Arabidopsis thaliana: one gene and its partners. The protein of the gene in region 1 interacts with the protein of each later gene in a pairwise test. Each region holds a gene or a part of one and is shown on either strand. Other genes may lie near its edges. The genes, in order: FMA, SCRM2, ICE1 and bHLH093.

What was found.
Region 2: the proteins of FMA (region 1) and SCRM2 interact in a two-hybrid assay, tested with the Arabidopsis thaliana proteins (one study listed by BioGRID).
Region 3: the proteins of FMA (region 1) and ICE1 interact in a two-hybrid assay, tested with the Arabidopsis thaliana proteins (one study listed by BioGRID).
Region 4: the proteins of FMA (region 1) and bHLH093 interact in a protein complementation assay, tested with the Arabidopsis thaliana proteins (2 studies listed by BioGRID).

The regions. Positions count from the first base shown.
Region 1 is NC_003074.8:8,714,567-8,719,719, forward strand, and holds FMA (basic helix-loop-helix (bHLH) DNA-binding superfamily protein), read right to left. Parts: upstream 3,646-5,153; 5' UTR 3,511-3,645; intron 3,267-3,510; 5' UTR 3,207-3,266; coding exon 3,189-3,206; intron 3,053-3,188; coding exon 2,387-3,052; intron 2,275-2,386; coding exon 1,840-2,274; intron 1,610-1,839; coding exon 1,524-1,609; coding exon of another isoform or gene 1,520-1,523; exon of another isoform or gene 999-1,519; coding exon 959-998; 3' UTR 552-958; downstream 1-551. UniProt on the Arabidopsis thaliana protein: Transcription activator. Together with MYB88 and MYB124, ensures that stomata contain just two guard cells (GCs) by enforcing a single symmetric precursor cell division before stomatal maturity. Together with SPCH and MUTE, regulates the stomata formation.
Region 2 is NC_003070.9:4,382,370-4,387,172, reverse strand, and holds SCRM2 (basic helix-loop-helix (bHLH) DNA-binding superfamily protein), read right to left. Parts: upstream 2,870-4,803; 5' UTR 2,416-2,869; coding exon 1,531-2,415; coding exon of another isoform or gene 1,450-1,530; coding exon 1,237-1,449; intron 1,155-1,236; coding exon 984-1,154; coding exon of another isoform or gene 975-983; exon of another isoform or gene 865-974; coding exon 781-864; 3' UTR 522-780; downstream 1-521. Other genes in the region: AT1G12870 (F-box and associated interaction domains-containing protein), read left to right, coding at 1-44; AT1G12855 (F-box family protein), read right to left, coding at 3,562-4,803. UniProt on the Arabidopsis thaliana protein: Mediates stomatal differentiation in the epidermis probably by controlling successive roles of SPCH, MUTE, and FAMA. Functions as a dimer with SPCH during stomatal initiation.
Region 3 is NC_003074.8:9,832,126-9,837,116, forward strand, and holds ICE1 (basic helix-loop-helix (bHLH) DNA-binding superfamily protein), read right to left. Parts: upstream 3,148-4,991; 5' UTR 3,011-3,147; exon of another isoform or gene 2,764-3,010; 5' UTR 2,666-2,763; coding exon 1,661-2,665; coding exon of another isoform or gene 1,574-1,660; exon of another isoform or gene 1,479-1,573; coding exon 1,254-1,478; intron 1,162-1,253; coding exon 991-1,161; coding exon of another isoform or gene 961-990; exon of another isoform or gene 912-960; coding exon 828-911; 3' UTR 542-827; downstream 1-541.
Region 4 is NC_003076.8:26,234,995-26,239,750, reverse strand, and holds bHLH093 (beta HLH protein 93), read right to left. Parts: upstream 2,788-4,756; 5' UTR 2,615-2,787; coding exon 1,997-2,614; intron 1,512-1,996; coding exon 1,329-1,511; intron 1,198-1,328; coding exon 1,030-1,197; intron 934-1,029; coding exon 847-933; 3' UTR 532-846; downstream 1-531. Other genes in the region: AT5G65650 (sugar transporter, putative (DUF1195)), read right to left, coding at 1-163. UniProt on the Arabidopsis thaliana protein: Transcription factor. May be involved in the differentiation of stomatal guard cells.

The DNA of each region.
Region 1 (5,153 bases):
ACGACAAAAGAAAAAAGTAATCAGAAATCTAGATCAACTCTCTCCATTTTCAAAAGTAATTACAATGATTATCTTACCATTTAACACAATAATACGATTGACAAACACGAATCTTTTTTGCTTACCTTCGATGAATTAATATAAGCTATATAACAAAGGATCTTCAAGTCTTGGACGGATTTGGAATTGGAATTCTCTGGCCTTGGACTCTGTCAAGATCTTACCCCCGTACGAACCTACTTGGTGTGAGAAGAAAACCAAGCAGTGCTTTTGGAATTTATTGTGTATGTGTCGGATCTGACTTGGATTAGAGCTAATGGTGAATATATAAAGAAGATGAAGACAAGAGTTTCGTCTTTGTTGACGTACGAGAGAAAGATTAAAGACAATCATTTTGAGTCTCCTAAATGAATTTGTTTTTCTGAATTCTGACACTTAGTTTCTTTAGTCAAATCACTTTTGAAAAAGTGTAAAAGCGTCACTTTGTTTAACCGAATGGTCAATTTTTTGAAGATTAAAACTGGCTATTTCTAACCTTTTTTTTCTTCATGTTTTCTTGTTGTATATATATTGGCCCATTTCTCATAGACAAATCTCAAGAAAATGATAGTTCCTCTCCCTCCCCTCAAGAAAAGTTTTCATGCATTGTTTTTTTCTTTTCTTTTTTATTTTGTGAAAAAAGTTATTTCAAGTAAATAAGTGGTTTAGCATTCTAAACCGCTTGTTCAAAACCTACAAATCAAAGCAGCAGAAATCACAACAACGAGTTCTAACATTACAAGCGACACAATCATCACTAAAATTTAAATTGCATGAAAAAAGCCCCAAAAAAATAAAGTAAGCACTCCCTTTAACTTAAACACTCTTCCAAATGCTTGGAGAATAAAACCCAATATGTAGAGATTATTACGTACTGTAATCTTCACCAGTGTACAAAGTTGTCGCCGTGTGATGATTTTCAAGTAAACACAATATTTCCCAGGTTAGAGCTTCCAGATCTGAAATAAAATTGTTTCCAAGCTTTAACACTTCAAATATTGTGATAAATATGTTACAATATATATATATATATATATACACACCATATGTAACACACAAAGAAAATAACCATGATAGATTAGATACACCATATATATCTAACATTAAAAGCAAATAATCATAACATCTAAAAGGTAAAAGAACAAACAAAAGACAAAAGCTAGACATCTAAAATAGTAAAATGTATAACATCGAACCACCAATATCTTTTACTCTAAGACTTTTTACCAGACTCATATACTCACACACTCACAGAGTCACACACACACATAGTAATGATGTCTTGATGATTAGATAGACCACATTGCACACAAAAAGATATAATCATGACATCTAAAAGGTAAAAACAAACAAAACACAAAAGGCATGTGAAATGGATAACAATGAACCAACATAAACTTTTGTTTTAAGGGACCAACAGAAACTTATCAAAAGTATCTTTAATCGAAAGAATATTTAAATAGCAGAAAAATATATATCCTTACATGTTGGTATTTGCATGAATGAAACTAAATATCTGTTGGATGGAACTTGCTATGTCTTCTGCCGTAAACCTCGTTTCACTTGTTATCTGCACATATTTTACATCTACCTCATGTTAGCCATTGATAGTTATTACATATACTTTAACAATACAAATCCATAATCTATGATTATATTGAAAACCCTAAATAAAATTATAAATGTGTTTTATGACAGCTAATCCAGATTAGATAATTACATGTATTATTTGATGAGTCTAGATTTTGCATATGAAAGCTGAATATGAATGATGAATTACTTTTTAACATATAAACTTGCCTTGACATTAAAGGAGTAGAGGACGGTTTGTTCCATGGTAGTGATGTTAGTGTGAAGAATAGAGAGATGAAGATCCTCCAAAGCAGCTATAGTCTTAATCAGCTGTCCCGGCCTTCTTCTTGAAAGTATCTTGATCATGGCGTCAAACCCTAGCAGCTTCACCTCCACGTCAGCCAAGCACGACTTGTTCTCCGCAGTCTCCTCCCGAAGCCCTCCTCCGCCCTCTAGCTCGGTTACATTTCCCGTAATAATGAGCGGTTGTGCTTGGTTCGCTACCGTAGTTATGGGAGAAGAAGAAGAAGTCGTTGTCGTTGTCATGTCCCTACCGGTTTCTCCTAAGATTCTTCGACGCTTCTGTGATTCAAGACATTGTAGGAGTTGCTCGAGCTCTCTCACAAACTCTATTGCTCCTCCTATGATTGACGCTTGGTCTCCCTATTTTATACAATTAATATTTGGTGTAGACAGTATAATTAGTTGTACATATACATATAAAAAAACATTCACGAAAATTCTTTCTTTAAGATATAATTTATGAATATCATACCCTTTGAACGTAGGAGCCAGGCATGAGAGATCTAAGGACACGAAGATGCTCATTCATTTGCTTCCTACGGTTTCTTTCGACCGCGATATGAGTCATCCGTTGGCTTTCCACTTCTTCGCTGGTCTTGCTCGTTCTAGCTCTCTTCCTCTTGCTCTTCACCTCCTTTTTCGTAACATTCTTGTTCTCCCTATCTTCTTCTTCTCCTCCAATAAAACGTAGTTGCACGGAGTTGTTGTCGTTGTCATCGTCTTGATCTTCTTTTTCTTCAAGAAACACATTGCCTATGTTTCCTCCACACTCACCTCCTTCTTGAGACGTCTGATGAGAAGGCATGAGATGTTGGGTTTGGTTATGGTCCTCTATTTTGTCGTTCAAGACAGGGAACTTCAAGAAATAAACGGGGTCAATCCCGGTTTCTTGATCGTCTTGGTTTCTGGTCTGGTTCAACGCAAGTTTCGAACCGAAGTCCGCAAACTGCATCACATCAGAGAAGTTCATTTTATCAAAAGGTGTTGCTCCAAATCCGGAAGGAGAGAGTTGATGTTGCTGCTGTTGTGGCATCGATTGCTTTTGTTGTTGTTGAAGGTTTCTATTGAACATATAGTCTATCATACCAGAGCTGTTATCATCGTTACCGCCTGAGGATTCACCTAAGAAGTTTGGTGCCTAATAAAAACCAGAATTGGAGAATGAAGTTAATATCATAAGCAGGAAGATTTGAATCTTATACATAGATATCTATCAATTTGTATAAGAAAAGAGATTAAGGATCTTGAAATACTGGAAAAAAAAACGTACGTACCGAGTAATCTTTATCCATTGCTATTCGTGGTAGTTGATTATAAACTGCTTAAGTCTAATGAAGGTCAAGCTTCTTGACCTGATGACAACAATCCATGAGCTTCACAGTCAGTTTTAAAAACATATACATGAAACAAAAACACACGTAGAACAAGTTAAAACCAAACCTAGGCAGATTACATGTTTCACCATATACATATACATGTATTTTATATGTACAAAACAAGTTTTCAAATTGAATTTTGACAATTAAAAAAAATGATTAACACCAAATATATTAGAGCTTTGTTTAGTAAGGAGTTAACAAAATAAAAGGGACTGACCTTGTATGATTTGCTAGGGTTTACGAGAGATGTATATAAAAGACGCAAGACATGCAAGATAGTAGAAGAAGACGGATTAGAGAAGACAAAACTTAAAAAAGTGAGGGGAGCTTTTTGTATTGAGAAGTCATAAATGAGTAAGCATCACCAAGCTCCCATATTTATAGAGAGAGATACATTATACATGTGTACACAAGGTATAGCAAGGGGGCATTAAATTTCTTAAGTATGTATATTCGTAATCATTTGTTTCTCTAATTACTAATTAGGGTGTGAATGGTACACATTCGTGACCCAATAAAAACAAATTAAACGACTTAAAAAAAGATACGTAAACATGTTTCAAAAAAAAAAAAAACAATTTTCTAAAGAATAAAGATAAATGAAAATCTACATAAGTTAATCTAAAATATTGAGGATTAGTAGTAAGTAGTTTGATTGCAGTGGCTGTTTTATTCTACTATCATATTCCCATTAATTATCGAGACATCATTGTTTTTCGCAATTTTCTATGCATTCTCTTTTAGTTTCTAAAAGTAGAGAAATATCAACCATCACATAAAATGTTTTAGAAAATCTAAAAACTACAACCAAAAGATATCAATCGTGGGAAAAATGAATTTTCGTTACTATTGTCCTTTTTTATTGCTTTGTAAGAAAGAAAAAGGGATGTTATTATTGCCCTCTTATAATTGTTAGAGATACTTAATGCTTAGTAAAAAAAGCTTCCAATTGTAGCAGGATAAAGCCGTGCAGTCGGAAGTTCTCAATGTCTCCCCAAATGCTTTTGCAGAAAATCATGATTGGCTAATCAAAAGATGCTCATTCAATCAATCCCTTTGTATTATGCACATAATGTGTCAATATTAATTTTCATCCCATTTGATATATAAATATCATTACATATATAGTTATCTAGTTCTTCTCTATCTTCTACATAGAAACACATAACAATCCAAATTTTACGGTCAAATTTGAAATGGGGGATCTAGAGCAACTCCCTAGCTTATTTTGAACAAAAATTAAGTTCAATATTGACTCAAAAGAAAGATTATTGAATATTCCAAATCATATCTTGTTTTTGTAATAAATACTCTATTTCTTTTTGCGTTAGACGTAAGGGTGAGGAGCCACAAAATACGAAAAAAGAAGTAACGTGAAAACACACGTGTATCAGCTGATCACCTCTCTATCTATCTATCTTTTTTTTTTGTTTGTCAAACCATAAATGATAAGATTTGAGTTTTTAGAGTTCACAAGCCAAGGCCGCTCTTTTTCCACCGCTTTTCGTGAACTTAATCAAATCTCTATACGCTTCTCATCTTTTAGTTTATTTCTATAGTATTTCAAATTCAAGCACTTATATTAGTTATGTGTTGTCAATAAAATATGATTTCTAATAAAAATATTCTGGTCAAATATATGAAATTAGTTTCACGAACATGACCTATACTATTTGTGTGTGTACGTGGAGACATATACATTTAAAGAAAAAGACACTGGTGTGGATGGTTACGTTTTAACTTTTAACAAAAAGTGGAGTAAAAATTCACGTTGATCAATCCAGTGAACTTTTTCGGGAATAAGAGTCGCGGATCCATAGGAGTATTTTAGTAGGTGCATATTACACAAATACTATGTTG
Region 2 (4,803 bases), on another chromosome or scaffold:
GCATCTGTAAACGGGACGCTTTATTGGTTCACAGAGCTATATAATGCTGAAATCAAAGTAATAGTTTTCGATATCATTACAGAAAAATTCCGGTTGCTGCCAAAGATAGTTCCCGCTATTGCTAGTTTAGATCCTAGCCATATATACACTCTGGATAATGCTTTGTGCATGTCGAAAAGAGAAGGAGATAAGCTGATCCAAAATATTTGGAGGCTGAAGAAATCATCAGAAGACACATGGGAGAAGATTTATACCATAGATTTTCTTTTAATTCTTACCAATTAGCCAAGTTTATCTGGTTCCATTATGTTTTTGTCTTTAACATCTTCAGTCGCCCACGGCACAAACCAAATCTTACTAAACTGAACCAAGCTCAGACATTTATAAAGAATATGAATTTTACATAGAGATTCATCTCTGTTCTGAAAAATTGATATATCAGAGCGTTTGCCTATGAATTGTGCATTTCTTAATATTTTGTTTAGCCTTTTCTCATGACAGACTCATGTGTGTTTTATCAATGAAAATCAACATTGCTCTCTTCTTGCAAACAACATATAAATGAAAAGCAAAGTAGAATTATTGAGAAACAATGGCATTTTGCTCAAAGGTTGCAACTATTGTTCCCCAAACACATGTTCTCATAGCTAAAATAAAACAGTTATCATCTTCCATACATGATTGAAATTGATGAAACTAAGTAAGAAAATTGCTGACTAAAACAGAACAAGGACTTAGATCTAGCTCTGTTCCACACAGATGCTTCCTTCTGCTTCGCAATCAAACCAAACCAGCGTAACCTGCTGTATCTAAAAGCACTGCTTTGATTTGTTCAGGTAACACGTCATGGTCTTCTTGACATTGCTGATTAGAAACACAAAACATGTTGTTACTTGTATACTAATCATTCTCTCAAATAACTATTCTTTGACTGCTAGTTTTACTAATCAGTGATCAGCATAGCATCTTAACAACTATATTACCTCAGCGCGGAAAACATCCAAAGCAAAACCATTGAAACAGCTAATCACCGCTTGTTGAACATCCAATCCTAAGTTATCCAAAGCTCTCATGGTGGAAAGTAAAAGACCTGGTCTACGTCCACAGAACATGTGTATGTTCACTGCCTTTCCTTCTCTTAATCTAACCTCAACCTATATCAAAACAAAGAAGCGTTACTAAGAAAATTAAAGAATACAGCTTTGTCCACTAGAAAGCAATTGAGCTTATTCTTACTCTTGGTTGTTGGCCTTTAGGACTTGGCAAGGAGGAAGATGGACACAACTCTTCCTTAACACGGTAAGACAGCGTTTGTGGAGTCGGTGTTAACGGATGCAAGCTTGAAGAACTCGGTGGAGTAGATTCAAGTTCGGTGTGAAGATCGTTGATTCTTTGTAAAAGCTCTTTGAGGTAATCAATAGCATCTCCAAGTATTGATGCTCTATCCATCTACATTTGCAACCCAAAATTAGTGACACAAGAAGTTATTAAGGAGAACAAAGAGAAAAAAGGAAGAATCTTTTTGGTTACTTTGCTGATCTTGGGAACAACTGATCTAAGCATGTAAAGCCTATCATTAAGCTTCTTCCTTCTTCTTCTCTCAGCCATAAGATTCTTTGCAGGCATTCCTTTCTTCTTACCTTTGTTGTTATTAGTATTATGGTCATCAGATTCGTAATTCAATCCAGAGATATCGATGATTCCGGTACTAGTATCGTCAATCTCTCTCTCGTAGCTCGATTTCCTCATTTCAGAAGAACTCTCAGAATTGCACATTTTGCTACTCGAGCTCTGACGCATTGCAGCTCGTTTCTGAAACAGAGTTGGCTGCGAGCCAGATGAAGCCATTACCTGTAACGGTTTTAAAACCTTTGCTCTGTTTGAGAACAGAGGACTCAATCCACATGATCCTGAGCTGTTTTCCGGAGCTGGAAGAAAATCCGGTACTGAGTGGTTTAAGCCAGTGAAATTCATCGAGTTCGGAGATTGATGATTTCCATGGAATTGTTGTCCTAAGAAACCAGAGTCAAAGCCGAAGTCATCGAAAGTGTTGTTATTGATGGTTGGGACGTTGAGAAGAGAAACTATACAAGCTTTCGTAGCTAAGAAAGACTGTTCCTGTTGTTGTTGTTGTTGTTGTTGTTGCTGTGAAGCAGCGTCGAGTGTGAAAGGATGTAATAACGGAGAAGAAGAAGAAGAAGAATCAATCGATTGCTGAAGAAGAAGAAGCAGATTCTCTGAGGGGTTTAAAGGAAAGCCACCATTGAATCTGAAGTCGTTTTGATTAGTGTGTTGTGGTGGTGGTGGGTTATTGAACCAGTCTTCATCTGGGTTTCTGACCCAAGACGCAGCTTCACCGTTATTAACTTCCGGAGATTCACCGGAGCCGTCAAGCCAAACACCGTCGCTGTTCATGTCAAACTAGTAGAGAGAGAGAGAGAGTGGGAAAAGTTTCGAATTTTGGAGAGAAGTAGAAATGGAACCTCAAAAGGAGACAAGGCGAGAGAAACGTAGATAATATAGAGAGAGATTTTTCTTGAAAGGAGGCGTACGTTATAAAGTGGAATCACGAGGATCTTATGAAGAAGAAAAAAGTGAGAAATCTGAAGAAGAAAGATAGAGAGATTTCAGAGCTCGAAAACCCTAAAAAGTTGAGATTTTTGGGGATTTCAATGTTGTCAAGGCCACCATTTATTTACTCTGTTTGGTTTCTTGGTCTATCTTGGTTTAAGAGTTGGTGTTGATTCTCGTGACTATTGTTTTTGCTTTCCGTCTCTCACCTCCACTTCATCTTTGCCACCTCTCTCTCATTTTTTTTTGTCTGCAGAATTATTTCAGTGATAGAGCTTAGGAAGATGATTTAGTTAAAGCTAAATCCGACCGTTAATAATCAAAATAAGTATACAGTTCAGTTTGGTTGAAAAACTTAATAATGTGGGATTTGGTTGGCAATCATAAAAATTGTCACCGTAAAATAAACAAATTTTGAAAAGAAAAATTGTAGTTTTTTTCTATATTTGAAGTATTTGGGACTAAAGAATTTTAATCTCTCAAAACTTTGTGATGTGTGTCATAGACTCATATTAATTGTAGCGGCAAACTTGTGTTTAGATTGTTACATAGATTGGCTATTAATCAAATTTTTTTTGACATGAATAACAAAAGTATATTGAATAAAAAAAAATCTTGCAACAAAGTATATTGAATAAACATTTCAAGATTAATACGGATAAAAGATGTCGGATGCAATGGTCCCTTTTTTTTAACAACGAGGCAATGGTCCCTTTAAGATAAAATCTATATTTCATCTTCCTTTTACATCCACACACAGAATGAAACTGATTTTTGTGTGGATTAACGAAAATACTCGTCCTCATTTTTTTGAAAAATCTGTATCATTTCATAAAGTAGTATGATTTTTGGTAAGTATAGTGTCATTTGGCGAAATAAGTATGGTTTATTATGATTTATGAATAACAGCATGCTATCGGATAATATAACAATCCAAACAATTAATGCTTTGTTTCTTACATTACATGCTTCCAAATACATCAAAGCATTTTATATATGAGAGATCAAACTCTGAAAATAAGAAGCATATCTTCTACACAAAGGAGGTTGGTAAATTAAACTGATAGATTTTATTTGGGGATCGTATTTGATCATATTGCGGGCATAGCGATGTGAGAGCAGAATCTTCTTGTCCTTGCATATCGCCACTGGTGTGGATGGCTCAACCAAATCTTTTCGTGTCCAATTAAATCCATCGCGGAACTCAGATAAAGAAGAAGAAGAACAAGAAAGCAAATCTATGGTATAAACCTTCTCCCATGAGTCTTCTGATGATTTTAACCTCCATATCTCTTGGACCAACGTATCCGATTCTCTTTTCGACATGCACAAACCATTATCCAAAGTGCACATGTCGATATGGTCAGGATCTGAACTAGCAATGGCCGGATTAATCTTAGGTAGCACACGAAACGTTTCAGTGTGAATATCGAGAGCTACCACTTTTATTTCGCCATTATATGGTTCCGTGAACCAATAAATAGACCCGTTTGTAGCTGCTGGTACTTGGTCAGGGAATATCCGATAGCTTGGAGTGCAAGTCAAGTACCTCCAAGCGTTTGCCCTAAAATCAAAAACCTCGCACTTTGTAACTCCCAGGTTTGGATTCGAGGCATCAGAATTATACAACCACACTAATTTGTAATCATTGGCCTTCACGAATGCTGTATAACAGACTACTGGTTTTATGTCAATCCAAGTGTCTTGAGTGGGGTATAACTTTTGCATCAAAATCTGAAACCTAGCCGGAGGAAGTTGTCGAAACCACCGAGTGGCCGGGTTAACTACATATATGGCTTGTGTTTTTAGGGAATGGATGCAGAAAAGTCCGTCACAGCTTTCAGAAGCATAGATCCGGTGTTGAAATCCTTGAGGGAAAGTGATAAGAGTGGAGGACAGAATAGAAGCCGATTCCAAACAGATTGTACTAAAACCAATGTCTGTATCTGGACGAGGCTGATTACCTTTACTTCCTTTCAAGGAATATTCTTCAGACATGACCATGACCTGTGGAAAATCCACGCGTGATCGCTCGACGATCTTCAAGTGTCTCTCTTCAAAACTGCGAGACTCGATCGTCGATCTCCATTGTTTTGAGAGAGACTTTAGTTGGATTATTGCTTTCACCGGAAGTCGTAAGAAGATTTCCTCTACAACATCGTTTGGTAGTGATGATGGTGCAAACACTGCCTTCTCGTTTCCTCTTCCTCTAGGTATTCTTCTTCTCTTTCG
Region 3 (4,991 bases), 1.1 Mb from region 1:
GAAGTACCAAACGGCTTGGATCATCAAGAGGACATCACTAAAAACTAGAATCACGAGGACTTCATTACTACATGCATTATAATCATAGAAAAATTCAGAGAAGCTAAATTAAAACCCTATAAAAAAGGTTAGGTTTTTAAAAGATTCAAAGGACCTACCACTTTTACGTTTCTTCATCACATCCTCTACGTTCTCGTGACTCTCTCTTTCTATCTCTAACCGCCATTAACTATGTCTCCTCTCTATCTCTCTAAATCTTTCTTTTGTACGGATACATACAACGTATATAAAAGTTCTTAAAACATTAAGTAAGCATTTAAAGAAGAAAACAAACAAAATGGTAGGGTCTATTCTTTGCTCTGCCTCTTCCTTCACCATTCTTTTCTCTGTTTTTTCTTAAAAATCTCAATGTTTTTCTTCACTCTTACATCATCAAAGCTCATTTCATCAGCTAATACCAAAGCTATACCTTTAACATAACTGTTTTGTCTGTATATGTGCAAATGTTTTGTCTGTCTTCTTTGAGAAGTTCACTCATGAACAAAGATGAAGACTTTAAAAAAAATTCTTGAGCATAGCTTTAAGATGAAACATAAATGGAAGTTAACATTGCTAATAAAAGGTTGAAGTTATGTATCCAACAACAACAACCTCAAGTTCTCAAAAGCTTAATTTAAAAACAACTCTCATTTGCAATTGCATTACATGCTTAGATTGAAGTTATGACATAAGAAAAAAAGTTGAGAAGAAAATTGCAGATTTAAAGGGACTTAGTTCTTCTAGCTCTGCTTCAACAGATGCTTAATGGACTCGAAGTCAGGATCAGATCAGATCATACCAGCATACCCTGCTGTATCGAAAAGCACTGCTTTGATTTGATCAGGCAGTATCTCTTGTCCTTCTTGGCATTGCTGATAGACAAAAGAAAACATGTTACTACTAAAACTGTTCTACAAATCCTTAACCTTTCAACTGAGAGTAGAAGATCACCTCAGCGCGGAAAACATCCAAGGCAAACCCATTAAAACAGCTGATCACAGCTTGCTGAACATCCAATCCAAGATTATCCAAAGCTTTCATGGTAGCGAGCAACAGACCCGGTCTACGACCACAGAACATATGAATGTTCACTGCTCTTCCTTCCCTTAATCTAACCTCAACCTGTGAAAAAGAAGCAGAGTAATCTCTCAAACATGAATCTTTGTTTTCTTCTTTCCAGTCTAAGCAAAAGTTATACAGAATATAGTCCTTACTCTAGCTTGCTGGCCTTTAGGACTTGGTAAAGAAGAGGGACACAACTCTTCCTTGACACGACAAGAAAGAGTTTGCGGTGTAGGTGTCAACGGATGGAAGCTTGATGAAGTTGGAGGCAAAGATCCAGGAGGAGTTGACTCAAGTTCATTGTGAAGATCATTGATCCTTTGTAGAAGTTCCTTCAGATAATCAATTGCATCTCCAAGTATTGATGCTCTATCCATCTGCAAATTCATCGAAAATCCATAAAACACTATCACGAGCCTCTTCCTCAAAAGAGTAAAGCAACTACATGCAAAGTTTGACAACAACAAAGGCCCTACAAAGCTACAACACAACAATTCTCTATAACAGCAACAAGTAAACAAGCTCTTAAGGAGATAAAAGAGACAAAGTAAGTGTTTACTTTGCTGATCTTGGGGACAACTGATCTAAGCATATAAAGCCTATCATTAAGCTTCTTCCTCCTTCTCCTCTCAGCCATCAGATTCTTAGCAGGCATACCTTTCTTCTTACCCTTTCCTCCTCCTCCAATCTGAACACTCTCAGCCGCTTTACCGCTCTCATTTATCTCATCAGACTCATAGTTCAACCCAGAAACCTCAATCCCAGTCTCATCCATATCTCCATCATCACTAAACCTCCTCATTCCCGAACTCTCCGAATTTCCCATTTTGCTTCCAGAGCTCTGACGCATAGCTGCACGTTTCTGGAACAGAGTAGGCTGTGCACCAGACGATGCTAACACCTCTAAAGGCTTCAGAACTTTCGCTCTGTTCCCAACAAAACCACCATTAGCAGGACTACCAAAACCTTCCAACTCCAACGGAGCTGTGAAACCACCACACAACATTGTGTTGTTGTTGTTGCTTTCCGGCGCAAGAAGTGACCGAGCAGACAAGAAATCAGGAACAGAACTCAAATCCCTGTTCCCCAATTGTGTCAAAGAACCAAACCCCATCGAAATAGGAGCATGGATTTGGTTAAGAAAACCAGATTCAGAGCCAAACTCAAAAGCATTATCAAAAGGGTTTGCAGAAGAAGGAACATTGAGAAGACAACCCTTGTTGTTGTTAGTTGACAAGAACTGATTTTGCTGAGAAGGGTCAAGACTAAAAGCTTGAGAAGGAGAACAAGAAGAAGAAGAATCAATAGAGTGTTGAAGAAGAAGATTATCATTAGGGTTAAAAGGAAAACCACCAAAGTATCTGAAATCTGGCTGATTCTGTAACATCTGAAGATCTTGTGGATGTGGTTGGTTACTACTAAACCAATCACCTTCAAGCATAGGCTTAAACTGAGAAGAACCATCTTCTTGATTCCTTCCCCATGAACCTTCCTCGTTCTCTTCCCTTTCTCCACCACCACCGTTTAACCAAACCCCTCCACCATTGTTTCCGTCAAGACCCATCGCCAAAGTTGACACCTTTACCCCAAAGTCTGAACCTTTAGAGGAAAATTCTGCAAAGTTGAGACCTTTAACTGAAATTTGGAAGCTTGAAGACAATTCTGCAAAAGTTTGAAAACAAAAGATATATACTTTGAATATTCAGAGACTTGGAAAAGTAAAAAAAGAGAAGCATTAAAGTAGAATCACGAGGATTTCATGAATTGAAGAAGCGAAATCTGAAAAGGAAGATAGAGATAGAGAGAGAGAATGATAGATTCATTTCTCAGAGCTTTCAAAAATTGAAACTTTTTTTTTGATGGATTCAATTTCGGCCACCATGAAATTGCTTTATCATTGAACACATACCCCAGATTTCTCGTGACTCTCTTTGCTTTGCTTCGTTTACCGTATCTCTCTCTCTCTCACCGTCACTATTTCTCCATTTTTCTGCTTAATTTTGGCTTAAGCTTATCTCTCTGTCTCTGTTGTCACTGTCTCTGTCTTTATATAGACAGTGTTTAAGTAAGTTAATGATGATGATGATAATTTCAAAGTGTAATTAGCATCATTCATGCAACGCGTGTCTTCCATGCATTTCTTTAACTCATATTATTACCTAATTATTGTTATGTACTTAAAAGTTCTTTTTCAAAAGATGGTAATAAAATTTATTTTATATTCTTACTATTAAATATATTTCCTTTTATTTTTTGTATTTTTTTAAAAAATTATAAATAATTATGTTGTAACGCATATCTCGACTTTACCGGCGTCGACATCTTTTCGATGGTTCCTAAGCTTCTTGAACAAAGCCACATCAAGCTCAAGTTTGTAAGTAAATAGTTTAATTTCATAAGTCTTTTAAACATTAATTAAGTAAGGACGAGTAATTCCAAATTTTCTGATGATTGTAGCGTTTATCACCATTATCAACTAAATTGAGTTCCCAAAAAAATATAGTTGTGTTGCGATATGCTTTCTAGTCTTCTAGAGGAAGTAATTAGGGATTCATTTTCTAAAAAGTTTTGTTAGTTTCAATTGTGGCTTTGTGCCTTAAATTGGCTTTTTGCTTATATAGTTTTGGTTTATGCTTTATTATTAGAGAATTTGTTTTTCTACCGGCTAAGATTCCGGAGATTTAAACGTGTTCTCCGGCTATCTATCTTAGTTTCCTTCATTTAAAGGTTTTAATAAACATTGAATTTTTTTTTTTTTATGGGCTGTTTGTTGCAGTCCACCCATACTATATGGGTTCAATTAGGATCACTATGTAGTAGACCTCAGCCCAATTCATTATGTATTTTTTATCTTCTTTCTAATTTCATACAAACTATAAAATTCTACCTAAATAACCAATTTCCATTTATTTCTGTAGTTGTAATTTATAATCAATAATTCGCGTTTATTGTTTCGAAATTTGAGTAAATCTGAATTTAAGACTCGGTCAAACTTTTTAAGACTCGGCCAAGCTTTCAAAGTGTTTTTGACATGTTGTTGGGAAGGTTTTAAACTCGGATTTACTCTAATCGCGAAATAGTAAACATGAATTATTGATTTTAAATTGTAATTACATATAATAATTGAATTTGGTAAATTGGGTAGAATGTGGAATTAGATAGAACAAAAAGAGCAGAAGGTGAATTGGATAGAGGTCAAAAATATTGGTAATCCTAGTTAAACGCATATAATACATGTGGATTGGTACAAACAGCCATTTTTTATTTATGCATCAAGTACGGTAGTGCATTTTATCCGTTTCATGAATATTGATTTTGCAAATTTTCATTTCACACAGATTAAAAATTTATACTGCATTTTCTTTCTTTCTATCTACTTCTTTTTATTTACTGTAGCTATACATGATTTGATTTTCAATAATAAACACTTCCCAAGAATTATAATTCAATATTAGTTTTACTTTATTTTAAAGCTACTATAATACACATAGGAATCTTGAAGATTGATCTTTGATGAAATGGATGACGTATCTATTTCACCAGTTTCAATATATTGTTTCTTTGCAAATATATGAAAATAGTCTCTTTGTTTTCAATAAATCCAGCATGGCTTGAACAAAATAAACTTACTCATTAGAAATTTTTTAAAGATGAATATGAACAACTTAAAGCTTATTTTTAACTCCATCAAATTAAATGGTAATGGTTAGTGTGCAAGGAAAACTTATTTCCAAGTAGTCGATATATCCTTCATTTGGTAGCAATTTGGTGAATGTGCTGAATCAACTAGCAACTCAATGTTCTTCAAAATTTGGGGTAGAATCTTCGGAGTGCTCTTCAACTTCGATTTGAGAAATCATTATTATTTTTTGTTTCGATCCATTACAATC
Region 4 (4,756 bases), on another chromosome or scaffold:
CAGTGAGCATTGACCAGAAAGCGAGTAACAGAATCGCAGCTAAGGCCCAAAACTTGTACCGGCCTTTCGAGAAGAGAGCGGAATAACCGGTTTCCTTCTTTCCGGTCACCGTCGTCGCCGCGACGGAAGAAGTGCTTATTGGTAAGGAATCTCCATCCTTCATCGGTAAAAGGCTCGAGTGTCGGCGAGATCAAACGGAGATTAGCGAGTGACCACCGGAGGATTGTTGTTTCTATCTAAATCGGAGATTCTTTCTAATAACAGAGCAGGAAGATATAAGAGAAAACATAAAGTTTGGGCTTACTAAATAAAGCCCATTTGGATCTACATCAGTTGCCGTTCTTTATAGGCCCAATAATTGATTAAGCCTAAGTTAGGGCCTCTTGGAATTTTATCGATAAAAGATTAATTCGTTGACGTAAGTGCCGCAGTAATGATGAATGCGTTGATTGGTGGAGGCACAGTCATTAACATTATAATCACGCTTATGATTAGCCTTTATAACTTTTTGATTAATACAGCTTTTTTATTTGATGATGCATCCTTCGAACATCGGTCACTGTCATATACGAACCCTAATTTCAATTATCGAAGTGGTTTATTTCCCTCAAAGCAACATAATATAACCTTTTATTTTATATCTCAATTTGTTCTTTGATATAATTTAGGAGAAACATCTCTTTTTAAATTTCCTTCTTTTGTTTATACAACTGAACTCATAATGTTTTCCCCTAGGAAAAAAAAACCAAACTCACAAGGGAATTAAAACAACATCTAAAGTTTATAAGCGCTAGTATTATTAGAAATAAACAATAGTTTTGGTTTATTAGTTTCAATCATGACTCATTACAAGCAGCTTCCACCATAACCTGCGTTTCTGAATAATGCTTGTTTTATATCTTCTGATGTTATGAAATCTCTCTGCTCAGCTCCCTATAAACATATATACAACAAAACTCATCAATATTATCATTACGAATACTATATAATTAACATTCCATGCATAAATACTTTATATTAAATCGATACCTCAGAACAAGAAGCCTGCAAAGAGAAATCACTAAAGCAGCTTATAACACATTGTTCAATCTCCAAGCCTAGAGTCTCTAATGTATTCACAGTAGATAGTAGCAATCCCGGTTTTGGCGAGCAGCATATATCAACTCGAGTATCCTCGTCTCTACGATCTATTTCAAACTATGCAAAACATAAACAGAATTACAAAAAGATTTGTTAAAAAGACAGGGGGTTTGTTTATAACAATTCATAAATACAAGGGCTAATATGTAGAAGGAAAAAAACAAGAGCAATGTAAAATATCTTTGTACCTTTGGTGAGTTTCTGACCAGAGGTTCGTTCGCATTAAGATCCTTGAGATCACCGAAGAGCTTAGAGTGATGTGAATTGTTGCTATTTCCAAGTTCTTGTTCCTCATCTTGTAATTTGTTGATTTTGTCTAAAAGCTCTTTCATGTAATCTATGGCATCTCCTAATATCGATGTCCTGTCCATCTGATTTTTTTGAACATACCAATAATCATTATTTTAAAACACTTTTAAATGATTTATCACTTTTCAGCCGGTTCTGTAGATTCCCTTAAAAGTAAGAACACAATAATTAAACAATCTTGAAGAAGAAAACTAAGGTTTCAAAAAAGAAGAAACAAACACATAATGTTAAAATACAAAAGGCTGAATTTGAAACCAATTTTATAACTAATTCACTCATTTAAAAGGACGAATCTTTTGTTGATTTTCCTGAGACCAATTTTTTGAATTAAATGTTAAATAAATCTTCAAAGAACACAAAAACCTTAGCTAGGGTTAGATTTTGAGGTAAATCAAGAAGATTAAAAAGGTCATTTTCTTTATGAACACATATAATAATACAGTCATTAACCTACTCATTAAAAAAATGATCAAATCTTTTGCTGATTTTGACTACAATTATTATTAATGGTTTGAAAGAAAAAAAAGATTAGCATTTTGTAATTTACCTTACTGATTTTTGGGACGATGGATCGGAGCATAGAAAGACGATCGTTAAGTCGTTTTCTCCGTCGTCTCTCCGCCATGAGATTCTTAGAAGGTTGGCCTTCAAGCTTTTTGCTCTTCTTCTTGTTCGTCTCTCCTCCACAGTAACCAACACTGAAGCTCTTGCTCTGATCAGACTCCATCAATGGAGAGGGATACGACATCGGATTATTAAAGTTCTCTTCTTGACCATTTTGAAGGATCAATGGAGGCGATGAGGAAGAAGAGTCAATTATCTCTTGCAAAGCCTCAAGAAAAGGGTAGTCAAATGTTGCTCCGGCGGTCGCGGAGGAGGATAACGGCGGCGACAGTGGTTGTAACGGTGGCGGTTGGTGAAGAAGCAATGGAGGAGGTTGAGAGATTAGATCCATGAAAGAAGAAGGATACAAAAGGGTATTTTCGTCTTCTTCTTCATTGTTGAAACAGAGGTAATCAATATTATATCCATTTGGGAAGAATTGATGATGATGATGATCAAATCCGCCATTAAAGCTCAGATTGTTGATGTTGTTGTCGGTTGTTTCTTGCTTTGTCGGAACAAGAAGCTCTTCGAACACATTCATTTGAGTCGACAGTTCCATTCTTTTCTCTCTATCAAACTCTGTTTTCTGGTAATAGAATGGACGAAGAAAACAGAGTGTGTGTGTGTGTGTGTGAGTTTGTGGATTAAAGAAGATGAACTGTATTTATATATAAATCCAGAGATGTCTGTCTGTGTGAGAGAGTATACTATTAATTAAATAAAAGATTCCCGTTTAATTTGTGATTAGTATAATATATGGTTTTTATTTAGTTTGATAACACATTTTATTGTTTTCTCGTGACAAATAATAAAAACATTTTTGTTTGCTGTAGCCTATAGCTAGTACTAGATTAGCTATATATTACAAGACTTGACATGAACCGATGTAGTTTTTATTTTGGTAAGTTTAGCCTACGAAAAAAGAAAAGGTACTGCTAACTGCTAAGAAAGTTTCACTCAAAATCATATAATCAATAATCAAATTTCTTTTATAGGAGACTTTTTGGTTTAATGATTGATATTTTACTGCAGTAAAACTTTTAGAAGTTCTGCAATTCGTGTGTCATATAGTTCTAGAGGTTGCGGTTTCTAACATCCATGTATACGTGCATTGTATGTAGACAGATTCGTCCATCGAAAAAAATACCATGATACATTGAGATATTACTATATCAGTCTAAAATGACCATCTAGGTGTTTACTCGAATCATTTTCAATTTTTCATAACAAGATTAAATTTCTGGCTATTTTATATTACTTTTTCATATATTATATATAAATCATGCATTAGGTGATCATATATAATCTAGCACATCTGTGTTTCGAAGTGTTGGAAAAAAACAAAGGGGAAATGGAGTAATGGACTCAAGAGTTTAGGTCTTAGTTATTATATAAATGAAAAATGTATTCATCTAATTGAGAAACAAACAAAAAGAGAGTAATATACATTGATTAATTCCCTTTCCTTACAGGATTGCTTTGATCCCACAAATTTCATGTCTCGACGAAAACGGATGAACATTTGTCTACCCCTCTTGCTTTCTTTATTTTTCTGTCTGCCATATATATTTTTATAATTATATTTTACATAATAATGATGAACTATTATTGAGAGGGAATTAATCGTATATACACAGGCGTACGTAATTATCTATTGTGTACGCATATTCTACTAAATTGCGTCTAGATCTTGCCTTAATTTTATATTCAGCATCACTTGTTTTTTTTTTAATTTCAATTTGACCCTTAAATCAAGGTAATGTTTGTGAATAGTAATCTCATTTTTTCAAGTGTAGGCCTATTAATAATTGTCATATGTGTTCACATTTGTCTTACGTTTGATATGACGTTTATTCTTTTGATTAACGCTTTTACATAGTCAAAATTTTTATAATAATTGGATGGGCTATTCGCGGTAATTGTTATGAATATGATGAAGTTATGAACTAATGACCGAAAATATTGGAGCTTTTCGAATTTTTAAAGATATATTCTCGTTCTCATAGTAGTACTGTATAATTGTTTGCTATCAAGGGCACCATTTCGGGGCGTAAATTGACAAATCTGAAAGTAAAGGGGTGAAATTTGAAAGTATATTTATAGAAGCAAATCTAGCTACTTTGACTGCTAATATTATTTATACGAAACAAAAATCCTTGGAAAATCACGCATATGCCTAGAATGTAGCTTTTCAATTTTTTTATGTGTAATATTTTATGTTTGCATGTGAACTTCTTGCTCCATCTTCAGTGCCATTCTCATATAAAAAACCGTATAAAAACAAAATGTGAAAAAAGTAAATAAAAGTAAGATTAATAATAAAAAGATCGAGAGCACATGGTAAAGAGAAGCTCCATGTTCACGAAAACAAACAAACTGTCTTAGGCCTCTCTCGTCCTTTCAGTTCACTCACTTTCAATCTATAATTCAACATTCACATTCATATTATACATGTGTGGGTGTATATAGTACAATATATCTGGATTATAAATTATTTAAAAATATGAAACACAAGTTTTATTAAACGAAGATCTTTGATTTAATGATGAACAAAAAACAAAAGCAAATATATCATTGATGAATCTCTACAAATATTAATTTCTGTATTCAAATATCATTTATACACACAATATAAAGGTCCCAGAATTTGTGCTTGTGGCGTAACATCACAACCAAAAAAAACTATTAAACCAAGTTATGA